Macaca fascicularis: one gene and its partners. The protein of the gene in region 1 interacts with the protein of each later gene in a biochemical or structural test. Links are inferred from orthologs where the notes say so. Each region holds a gene or a part of one and is shown on either strand. Other genes may lie near its edges. The genes, in order: NFE2L2, GSK3B and ENC1.

Evidence for each region.
Region 2: of the proteins of NFE2L2 (region 1) and GSK3B, one has a biochemical effect on the other in vitro, tested with the Homo sapiens proteins (2 studies listed by BioGRID). The link is inferred for Macaca fascicularis from reciprocal best matches to the Homo sapiens genes NFE2L2 and GSK3B.
Region 3: the proteins of NFE2L2 (region 1) and ENC1 form a complex in vitro, tested with the Homo sapiens proteins (2 studies listed by BioGRID). The link is inferred for Macaca fascicularis from reciprocal best matches to the Homo sapiens genes NFE2L2 and ENC1.

What each region holds. Positions count from the first base shown.
Region 1 is NC_088386.1:72,766,625-72,769,263, reverse strand, and holds the end of NFE2L2 (nuclear factor erythroid 2-related factor 2), read left to right. Parts: intron 1-329; coding exon 330-1,556; 3' UTR 1,557-2,031; downstream 2,032-2,639.
Region 2 is NC_088376.1:163,313,571-163,317,226, forward strand, and holds part of GSK3B (glycogen synthase kinase-3 beta), read left to right. Parts: intron 1-773; coding exon 774-960; intron 961-3,656. UniProt on the Homo sapiens protein: Constitutively active protein kinase that acts as a negative regulator in the hormonal control of glucose homeostasis, Wnt signaling and regulation of transcription factors and microtubules, by phosphorylating and inactivating glycogen synthase (GYS1 or GYS2), EIF2B, CTNNB1/beta-catenin, APC, AXIN1, DPYSL2/CRMP2, JUN, NFATC1/NFATC, MAPT/TAU and MACF1.
Region 3 is NC_088380.1:78,628,088-78,632,222, forward strand, and holds the start of ENC1 (ectoderm-neural cortex protein 1), read right to left. Parts: upstream 2,901-4,135; 5' UTR 2,478-2,900; intron 1-2,477. UniProt on the Homo sapiens protein: Actin-binding protein involved in the regulation of neuronal process formation and in differentiation of neural crest cells.

The DNA of each region.
Region 1 (2,639 bases):
CATTCTGATTATTTATATGCCGCCTATTTATAGGAAGGATTGGAGGGTGCTATTAAATTAGTCATGAGTACTGCCCATGCTAGTTAAATGGGTTGGATATCTTGAGGATAGAATGTTATAAACCTGATGTCTGATCCGGGAACTCTGAAAATAATACATATGCTTAGGCATAAATACGTATTGGAAGTGAGAATTATCTCTAAATTATAGAGAGAATAAATTATAGAGATAAGCCTGAAGATAATGTGGGTAGGGAGTTTATCTAAATTTATCACATATTATCATGGATTAACTTTGATTTATATAGTATAAACTTCTTTCCCATGCAGTGTCTTAATATTGAAAATGACAAGCTGGTTGAGACTACCATGGTTCCAAGTCCAGAAGCCAAACTGACAGAAGTTGACAATTATCATTTTTACTCATCTGTATCCTCAATGGAAAAAGAAGTAGGTAACTGTAGTCCACATTTTCTTAATGCTTTTGAGGATTCCTTCAGCAGCATCCTCTCCACAGAAGACCCCAACCAGTTGACAGTGAACTCATTAAATTCAGATGCCACAGTCAACACAGATTTTGGTGATGAATTTTATTCTGCTTTCATAGCTGAGCCCAGTATCAGCAACAGCATGCCCTCACCTGCTACTTTAAGCCATTCACTCTCTGAACTTCTAAATGGGCCCATTGATGTTTCTGATCTATCACTTTGCAAAGCTTTTAACCAAAACCACCCTGAAAGCACAACAGAATTCAATGATTCTGACTCTGGCATTTCACTGAACACAAGTCCCAGTGTGGCATCACCAGAACACTCAGTGGAATCTTCCAGCTATGGAGACACACTACTTGGCCTCAGTGATTCTGAAGTGGAAGAGCTAGATAGTGCCCCTGGAAGTGTCAAACAGAATGGTCCTAAAACACAACCAGTACATTCTTCTGGGGATACGGTACAACCCTTGTCACCATCTCAGGGGCAGAGCACTCCCGTGCATGATGCCCAATGTGAGAACACACCAGAGAAAGAATTGCCTGTAAGTCCTGGTCATGGAAAAACCCCATTCACAAAAGACAAACATTCAAGCCGCTTGGAGGCTCATCTCACAAGAGATGAACTTAGGGCAAAAGCTCTCCATATCCCATTCCCCGTAGAAAAAATCATTAACCTCCCTGTTGTTGACTTCAACGAAATGATGTCCAAAGAGCAGTTCAATGAAGCTCAACTTGCATTAATTCGAGATATACGTAGGAGGGGTAAGAATAAAGTGGCTGCTCAGAATTGTAGAAAAAGAAAACTGGAAAATATAGTAGAACTAGAGCAAGATTTAGATCATTTGAAAGATGAAAAAGAAAAATTGCTCAAAGAAAAAGGAGAAAATGACAAAAGCCTTCACCTACTGAAAAAACAACTCAGCACCTTATATCTGGAAGTTTTCAGCATGCTACGTGATGAAGATGGAAAACCTTATTCTCCTAGTGAATACTCCCTGCAGCAAACAAGAGATGGCAACGTTTTCCTTGTTCCCAAAAGTAAGAAGCCAGATGTTAAGAAAAACTAGATTTAGGAGGATTTGACCTTTTCTGAGCTAGTTTTTTTGTACTATTATACTAAAAGCTCCTACTGTGATGTGAAATGCTCATACTTTATAAGTAATTCTATGCAAAATTATAGCCAAAACTAGTATAGAAAATAATATGAAACTTTAAAAAGCATTGGAGTGTCAGTACGTTGAATCAGTAGTTTCACTTTAACTATAAACAATTTCATAGGACACCATTTGGGCTAGTTTCTGTGTAAGTGTAAATACTACAAAAACTTATTTATACTGTTCTTATGTCATTTGTTATATTCATAGATTTATATGATGATATGACATCTGGCTAAAAGCAAATTATTGCAAAACTAACCACTATGTACTTTTTTATAAATACTGTATGGACAAAAAAATGGCATTTTTTATATTAAATTGTTTAGCTCTGGCAAAAAACAATTTTAAGAGCTGGTACTAATAAAGGATTATTATGACTGTTAAATTATTTGTTTGGGATTCCTTTGAGTTTATTCACAAGTAGTATTTTCCGTAAGATAATCATCCTTTTAATTTAGATGTTTTGCATTTTCACAATGTTTTATTTGAAAATATAAAAATCATTTTATACTAAATTTCTAGTACCAGGGTTACAGAAAAATAAAGTATATCAAGAGGATACTTTGCCTCTTCAATAGCAAGTACATCTAAACCCAAGAAAATGTTATACACTGACGTGAAAGCATTGATTCATTTATTTCCATCAGTAGATATACGCCCACTATACACTAGGCACAGTTTGAAGTAGAAAGGACAAAACCAATATCCCTGCCCTGGAACTTGCATTCTAGTGAAGGGGAGGTAACAAGCATACTCCACTATGTTAGAAGGAATTGGATGGGGAAAACCAGTAAAAAGCATCACAACTTAAGGCTGTAAATGGGAAGAGCGTTACTGAAGTGGCAACATTTGACGATGGGGGGGAGAAGCCGTTCTCATAGCCAAGAACACTGTAGACAAGACACAGCGGGTCCAAAGGCGGAACCACATTTGAGAAAAAACAAGGACAATGTGGCCGAAGAAAGGGATGGTGGTGGAATATGACAGAGCCTT
Region 2 (3,656 bases), on another chromosome or scaffold:
TAAGACACAAATTAGTAGAAAGCTATCTATTCCTTTAAGTAGATCAATTTAATTGAATTTTTCTTCAATATTGCCTTCAGCTCACTTTTTCTGTGTCTTAATCATTCTTAATGGTTAATACATTTTTTTTCTCCTTGATTAAAACCCTGGAATATTCATTCAAGTGGGGGAAATCTGGCCATATTCATGGTAACACCTACTTGAGAAAAAAAAAATAGGACATTTAATCAAATTCAAGGTATTCAAGAATTTCTTCAAATAATGGTAGGTTCTGTTTATTGGAAATAATACCAAATCAGTAGCATTTATAGACCTAGAGTAAATAGCTCTTCTTTCTTTTCTTTTTGATTGCCAAATTTTTGAACAGTACTGCCCATCATTAACAATTGTTCTGCTAAAAAACAATGCAAAAGAGGCAATCTTTTATTTACTGCCATAGCAGTGAAAACTTTAAAATTTAAGAAATAATTTTCTAGTTGTACTTGCCTCCAGAACTCAGCCTTTCCCGTGTGCCTATCATATTTTGTATGCATGTCTGATTGTTGTTACTTTATGATTAGCATATATAGATTTTTCTCCGAGCATTTCTCATATAATCTTTAATTAGCAATTCACCCCTGTGAATCATATGCATTTAACTTTTTCCATTCTAGAAGGTCCTTTCCCAAATGCAACCATGTTTCTGTGCATGGTGGTAATTAAGTCATTGCTCACAGGGTATTTACTTAGTTTCTTAAAACATTAATTATTCTTTCCCTTTTTTTGTACTGCAGGTCTTCCGACCCCGAACTCCACCAGAGGCAATTGCACTGTGTAGCCGTCTGCTGGAGTATACGCCAACTGCCCGACTAACACCACTGGAAGCTTGTGCACATTCATTTTTTGATGAATTACGGGACCCAAATGTCAAACTACCAAATGGGCGAGACACACCTGCACTCTTCAACTTCACCACTCAAGGTAAATCCAAACACTTTGCTCTTCACCAGTTCTAGGAAAGCTACACACTGGGTGTGAAATGACATTCTATTAATTAAAATCTGTGGGAGACAAAAATGGACATATTAAGTACTTAGGTAGGCGAAAAGAGCATCCTTTCTAACTTAATGGTCACTACTTATATGATTTTGAAGAAAAGAGTAGCACATAAAAGTTTTCCAATAGGCATAGCTTCTTTAATTTTTAGCAGAATATAATGTTGGCACAGGAGAAGTTACAGAGAGTTCAGTGAGTGAAGTTTATCACTAATTGGACTAATGTACAATTTAACCTTTAGGTTTGGATCTGAAACTTAAAATAGTAGCATTTCTTGCTTCCCTAGAGTTTGTATCAAGTTTTTTTAAACCTGGAATGAATTGGCTATATTTGTATAAATTCAGTTGTCTTCCAAACAGGAGGAAAACTGGAGCCCTATAAACCCTTTCTAAGAACTTAAACAAACAATAGAGACAAGGAAATTTCCATCCCCTCTGAGATTTGGCACCATCGCTGCTGCAGAGAAAATACTGAAAGGAAAACTAACTTTGTGCATTGTGGTTTCTGGAAGACCTTGGGATAGTCACTATTTCTTCACTATTTCTGTGTTCAGTTTTCTTTTCTCCTTGATTAAGACCTAAGTGATTCATTCATTCAGTCACACTACCTCTGATGATGTGACTTTCTTCTTACACTGAGCATAAAAAATGTACAATTCATTACCAAAAAAAACACAGTTGATGTATTGATTAGTAAGCATACTCAGGCTAGAAAACAGAAAAGGGAGATGTTGAGCTTTCTGTGAAAGAAAGAAATCTATTTCCTTTATTCATATATATCATATCTTTCTTTTTAAAAAAAAAAAAGAAGACTCTTTTATTTTGGTATTTTAAAATATGTTTGCCCAGCACATTAGATATAAATATGATGTGGGTCTTGAACATTTATGTTTTTGAGGGTTTGGAGAATGCATTTATATTTGGATGTAATGTGTATAGATAGAGTGTGTGGTCTCTGTGGTTATCAGAGTGTTTATGTGATTCTGAGTATCAGTGAAAAACTGGACCCTGTAAACACAGTCATGTATTCCTTAGTGATGCAGATATGTTCTGAGAAATGTGTCATTCAGCAATTTTCGTCCTTGGGCAGACGTCACAGAGTGTGCTTATGCCTACTTATTATTGAAAGTGCTGTCATTTTGAGATATGGCCCCTTTTTAAAAAGTGTTAAAATGCTCTGTCTTAGCACCCATTCTGAAACTGAGCTGTAATCACAAAGTAGTACTTTCTCACGGTCTTTGTAAATCACTATTGTTACTGTTTTTGAACAGTGTTTCTATGTAAGATGTCCAGGGAAGAGAGGTTTTTTTTGTTGTTGTTGTTGTTATTGTTTTTGTTTTTTGGTTTTTTTTGTTTGTTTTGTTTTGAGACGGAGTCTCACTCTGTCACTCAGGCTGGAGTGCAGTGGCATGATCTTGCCTCACTGCAACCTCCACCTCCCAGATTCAAACAATTCTTGTGCCTCAGCCTCCTTAGTAGCTGGGATTACAGGCACCTGCCACCATGCCTGGCTAATTTTTGTATTTTCAGTAGAGACGGGGTTTCACCATGTTGGCCAGACTGGTTTTAAACTCCTGACCTCAGGTGATCTGCCTGCCTTGGCCTCCCAGAGTGCTAGGATTACAGGTGTGAGCCACCATGCCTAGCCTTGATGCCATTGTATTTGATATGATACTCTGTATTCTAATTTTGGAGCAGTGTTTCCAAATGGTGATCTTGTTTTCTGAGGCAGCTGTAACTGTGTACAGATGCAACTTTAAAGCACATGCTAGTTAGTAGTAATTAATGGATGACCAGAATAAAACTGGGTAATCCAAGGGGTTGAAGAAGGAGAATCAATCTTCCAGTTGGTTGTATAGCTAAAGGAAATCTAGAGATAGAAACATTGTGGGGGGTCTGGTTGAAGGGTGAGGGATATTAGTGAGGTTCTTCTAAAGGCAGCATAAAGCCCTCCTCCATCCTCATAACAAATTGTCAGTGACATCTGCAGCACTGCTTCCCCCAAATAAAATAAAGATCTACATATAGTAGGTGCTCAATGAATGTATGAGTGCCATGTACCACTTTAAATAAACATAATATTCATTAATTCATACAACCAGTATTTTTGGGGCATTTCTAATGTTCCCTCTGGTTGTCATTACTATTGTTTTAATTTCTAAAGTAAACCTGCTATATATACGGAACTATAAAGATTAAACACTTGAGTAAAATATAGTGTTTTATTAAGGTAAAGCTTACAATAAAGCTAACTGCAATTTGATGTTTGTTACTGTACCATGGAGTAATTAGCCATAAACAGTAATTAGCATTACTTTCATATAATCACAATATTTCCATATTCAGATAGACGAAGGAGAGAGATGAACAGATATGAGATGGACAACTTTGAGATCTTTCTGATTGCCTAAATCCATAACTCAGGAGAACATCAGACCTCTCTCATTTTTCCAGCACTGAAGCTTCAGTGTTCCAGGACCCCATGACTGACAATATTATCTGCTCTCAGATGTTGGAAATTGGAATAAACCTTTGGCACACCCCCTTCTTTCCATTTCTTCCTGTCATTAGAATTTCAAATTCAGCCATAGCTGAATCAGACCTTAGGAAGCAGATAGAATC
Region 3 (4,135 bases), on another chromosome or scaffold:
CACCCCAGAATTTATTTGCTGACTACAGTGCTTTCCTCAGTATCTACAATGAAATTATAGTAGAATCTAATGCTATCTTTTGGCTTTCTTCAGTAAGAAAACAGTAGGCTAGAGACATAGGAAATGCTTGTCATCCATCTTCAAAAACTGAATCACATGCCTTCATCCTTTTCTTTCATACCACCCCTCTGTTACTTCAAAGGAATGAAGTCCTCAAGAAGCTGCCTGTCCAAGGATTCCTAAGGAAGCTGTTTATCCCGTTGTTTATCCCCAGAGGGTAAACTGTGTGGCTGGTTACAGTATCTGTTCCAGACACAGAACAGCCAGTCCTGAAAGCGCAGCTGAAACTCTGTTTCCTTTAACCATTCAGATATTTTTAAATTTACATTCTAAGAATTATTAATAAATGCAAATGAATGATTTGCCACAGATTCATGGGCTAAAATACTAACTTGCACCTCCCCAACCAGATGTGAGCCCCGCTGTGAGACTGCACAGAAAACCACAAAGGCAGGGGCAGGACACATATACCTCACGCCATTAGGTGATGCAACTAGTTTTCTTTCCTTTTTGGAATGTAATTTTTTATGATGAGTAAACATGGCTTAGTGGAAGAAAGGAAGCAACAAAGTCCTAGAGCTACAGTGTTAGGAAGACTTTACAAAGCACCCAGTAATCTCCACAGTGACTTGGGATATAAAAAATGGTGAGGAGCCAGCCTCACTCCCACCTCAGGCTAAGTGTCTACTGTCTACTCCATTCTAACCAATGCCCAGTGTTCTGGAAAATGACCATGTGAACCTAGGGGAATGCATCAGGTTTCCAAAGGGTTAAAACATCCATTAGCATTCTCAATGCTCCACCACTGTAGTTGTTATTTTAATTAGTACATTCAGTCTGAAGTATTTGGAGGAAGACTTTAAGTCTAAACCTGGATAGACTGTCTACATCCTCCTATGAAGCTACTGCCTCTCAGGCGAAGAGCAAATGCTGCCCTGACTGAAGGAATAATGAGGTTCCCTGAAACTAGGTGCACAGACACCAAAATGCTTACACGTTGAGCTGGAATCATGCTGGGCCCAGAACACATTTCCCTGAACATTAGATTCAGGATGGTGCAAAACAACATTCACAACCAGACCTACAGCTAAGAAAACAATTTGTTTAGAAGACCTTAGGATATAGGATCTACATCTCTCCGCATCCTGTGTTTATGCTCCTGTATGTTCCAGGCTGGCCCAACAAGCCAGAAGGAAGAGCCTAGCCTGTCATCTTGGATACCATCCAGATGGAAAAGCACGTCACAGCCAAAATCACAATCAACATTCTTGCAAAAATGTTTGATTAAAATAAAAAGTAAACTTGGAAACCCAAGGGGAAATACTTGCTTTCTGGTTTAAAAGTGTGCAAACTTCAAAATATCAGCAGAAACCACGTATACAAGTCACTGAACACACCTTCAACATAAAATGAATCATCTTTCCAGCATTTTTAAGCCCCCAGAGAAATCACATTTGCATATCAAGTAAGTGGCCAAGAAAATGCACACTTATACTTAATCTGCGTCTACAAAGAAGACAGAGAAAAGGGCTATTACTGTGAACATCAAAAGGGCTTCAGTTACAGTAACTTCAGTTCACTTCATGCTCCTAATTCAGGCTCTCTGCCTCCAATGCTTAGCGTCCCGCACGCTTCTCCAGGTTTTGAACCTGATCTCAATCCAATCAAAAGAGAAACTAGGCAGATTTTTTTCTGGGCATTTATATTACCGGTAACAACAGAACATTATAAAGATCTTGTTAACAAAAGTAGCTTCTTGCCAGAGTCTTTTTATTAACACTTGCAAAGCTATTTAACAAGCTGGCCATGCCTGTGTGACACCAAACTGCATGTGGATAAATTCAATGTTTCATCTCCCCGCCCACCAATTCCTGTCCTTTGTAACTAATAATGTTAACACGACAGATCAAGAAACTAGTTTTTCAGAAAACAGTTTTCATTCATTCTCTATAAGACATTTCCGCCGCAGTGAACATGCCCGCTCTCAGGGTGTCTGTGCGTGGCCCCAACTTTCCTCTGAGCCGGGAAGGATGCAACGTGGGCCAACGATTCCGCGCGCTCCGCCCTGGAGGCTGCGGGGAGCGACGCAGCGCGACATTCACCCCCAGGAAAGCGCTGCTTTCCGCGGAGGAGAGAGGCTGACTGTATCCTTAGCTCTGCTCCTCGCTTCCCCAGCGGCTCGCCCCGGACATTGCACCGCCGGTCGACCTCTCTGGCGATGCCCGGCTCCTGCCTGCTGTGGAAGGGCAGCGGCGGGCACCATGGTCTCCGCACCTAGAAGAGTTCCCCCTGGCCTCAAGTGGAAGCTGCCGGCTGCCCGGAGCACGCTCACCCCTCGCGAACACACCCCTGCAGCCGAAGCAGCCCCTGAAGCCGGCAGCGCCTGCAACAGGTCCGGGGCAGTGGGGGAAACTTACAGCAGTGGCGACTGGCCGCAACGCACAACTGAGTTCTAGCGTCGGTCACGGGCAAGGAGGCGACGAATCGGTCGTCTCAGCCCCGGGAAGCGGTGGCGAATGCCCCGGAGAAAGGAGCGCCAGCCGGGGAGAGGACTGCGCCCCGAACGATGGCTCGCGGACTGGCTACCGCTGGCGTTCGCCTCTGCCTCTTGTCCCCACGCCGCGCACCCGGCGTCCAGGACCCGCAGAGCGTCTACCGGAGCGCGTCACCGGAGCGGAGAGCAAGCCTGCCACTGCAGGCGCCGCGGAAGGAGGCGGGCTGTGTGCTCGGGGGAGGGAGCTAGAAAGCGCCTTGTGCGCCGGCTGCCGCCAGGCGTCTGGACCCGGTCTCCGCAGCGCCACCGCCGCACCGCCTCCTCTCCGGCTGCCAGAGCAGTCTGCGCCCCGCCGCGGTGCGCCCCGCTATAAGTGGCGCGGCGGGGAGGGGAGGGGGCGCGTATGCAAAGAGACCGACACCGGGGGAGGGAGGAAGCGCATTAGCGCGGCCCGTGGTGTAGGAGGAGGAAGAGGAGGAGAAGGAGTGGGAGGAGGAGAGGAGCTGGGGAAGAGCGTGTCGGGGGAGTTAATCGGGAGAGGAAGCGGGAGAGGGGGGCTGCGGGGACTGCAGAGAGACAAAGCGGACGCGCTATCTCAGCCGCTGGCAGCTGCAACCCCGGGAACCGAGAATAAAATAAGTTTTCCCGGGTTCGAGTGTGTCTGCGCCTCTCTGAGCCAGCCTGGTTAATGGACAGTCCCGGATCTGAGGGACGCACCTCAGAGGAGCGCAGCCCGGCGTTGTACGCTCGGTGATGCCAGAGCCCGCGCGATGCTCTAAAAAGGGCAGCCAGGGGCGAGCTGGATATCCACAGGACAAGCCCTGGGCACGCATAGATAGCTCCTTGGGTAGGACGCCCAGAGTGGGGAGAGATAGTGGCAATGGAAGGGCAAAAGTCTGAAAGCTTTGGGGACACTCGGGTTGAGCAAGCCAGGACTTTTAAGTTTCTTACTGGCAGAGAGCCAAAGAGACTCCAGCCCCAGGCATTTCCCATGTGTCCTCCCTCCCCATTCCCCAGCGGGTGCGGCACCCACGGCTGGACTCTGCCCTAAGCCAGGCGACTGCAGCGGCAGCCGGGGTGCAGTTCTGCGGGGCGCGCACCACGTGCTTTTCAGCCAATCGCCGCGGCCGCTTGATTCAAAGTGAACTCCTCAAAGCAGCAGCCACGCCACCTCCTCTCCTAGCGATAAAGCCTCCATCACCCTCTCCTGTTTTTTATCGCTCGGTGGTGGTAGTTTGGAGTTCAGTAAAGAAATGGCTCAGCGCACACACACGTTTAATAGCCCCGCGTGCCAGGAGAAAGGAAGGCGATTCGAAAAATAATCTCGCGTGGTGATCACTTTTACGAATCCCATTTATCTTTGCAACTAGAGACTTGTCTTTCCACTGGGAGCTAAAATGTCTGTTTTTTATTCGGTGTTTGGAATTAAGTGTATAAAGGAACGGGATAGATGACCGGTCCAGCTCCCTTGTTTTACAGGTGGGAAACCGAGGCCCAGGGAGATGTGAGTTGCCTGGCTCGTAGTCACTTAGCAACAGTGTCCCAGCTCTGCAGCTCGAGAGTGAGGGCCCCACGACAGAG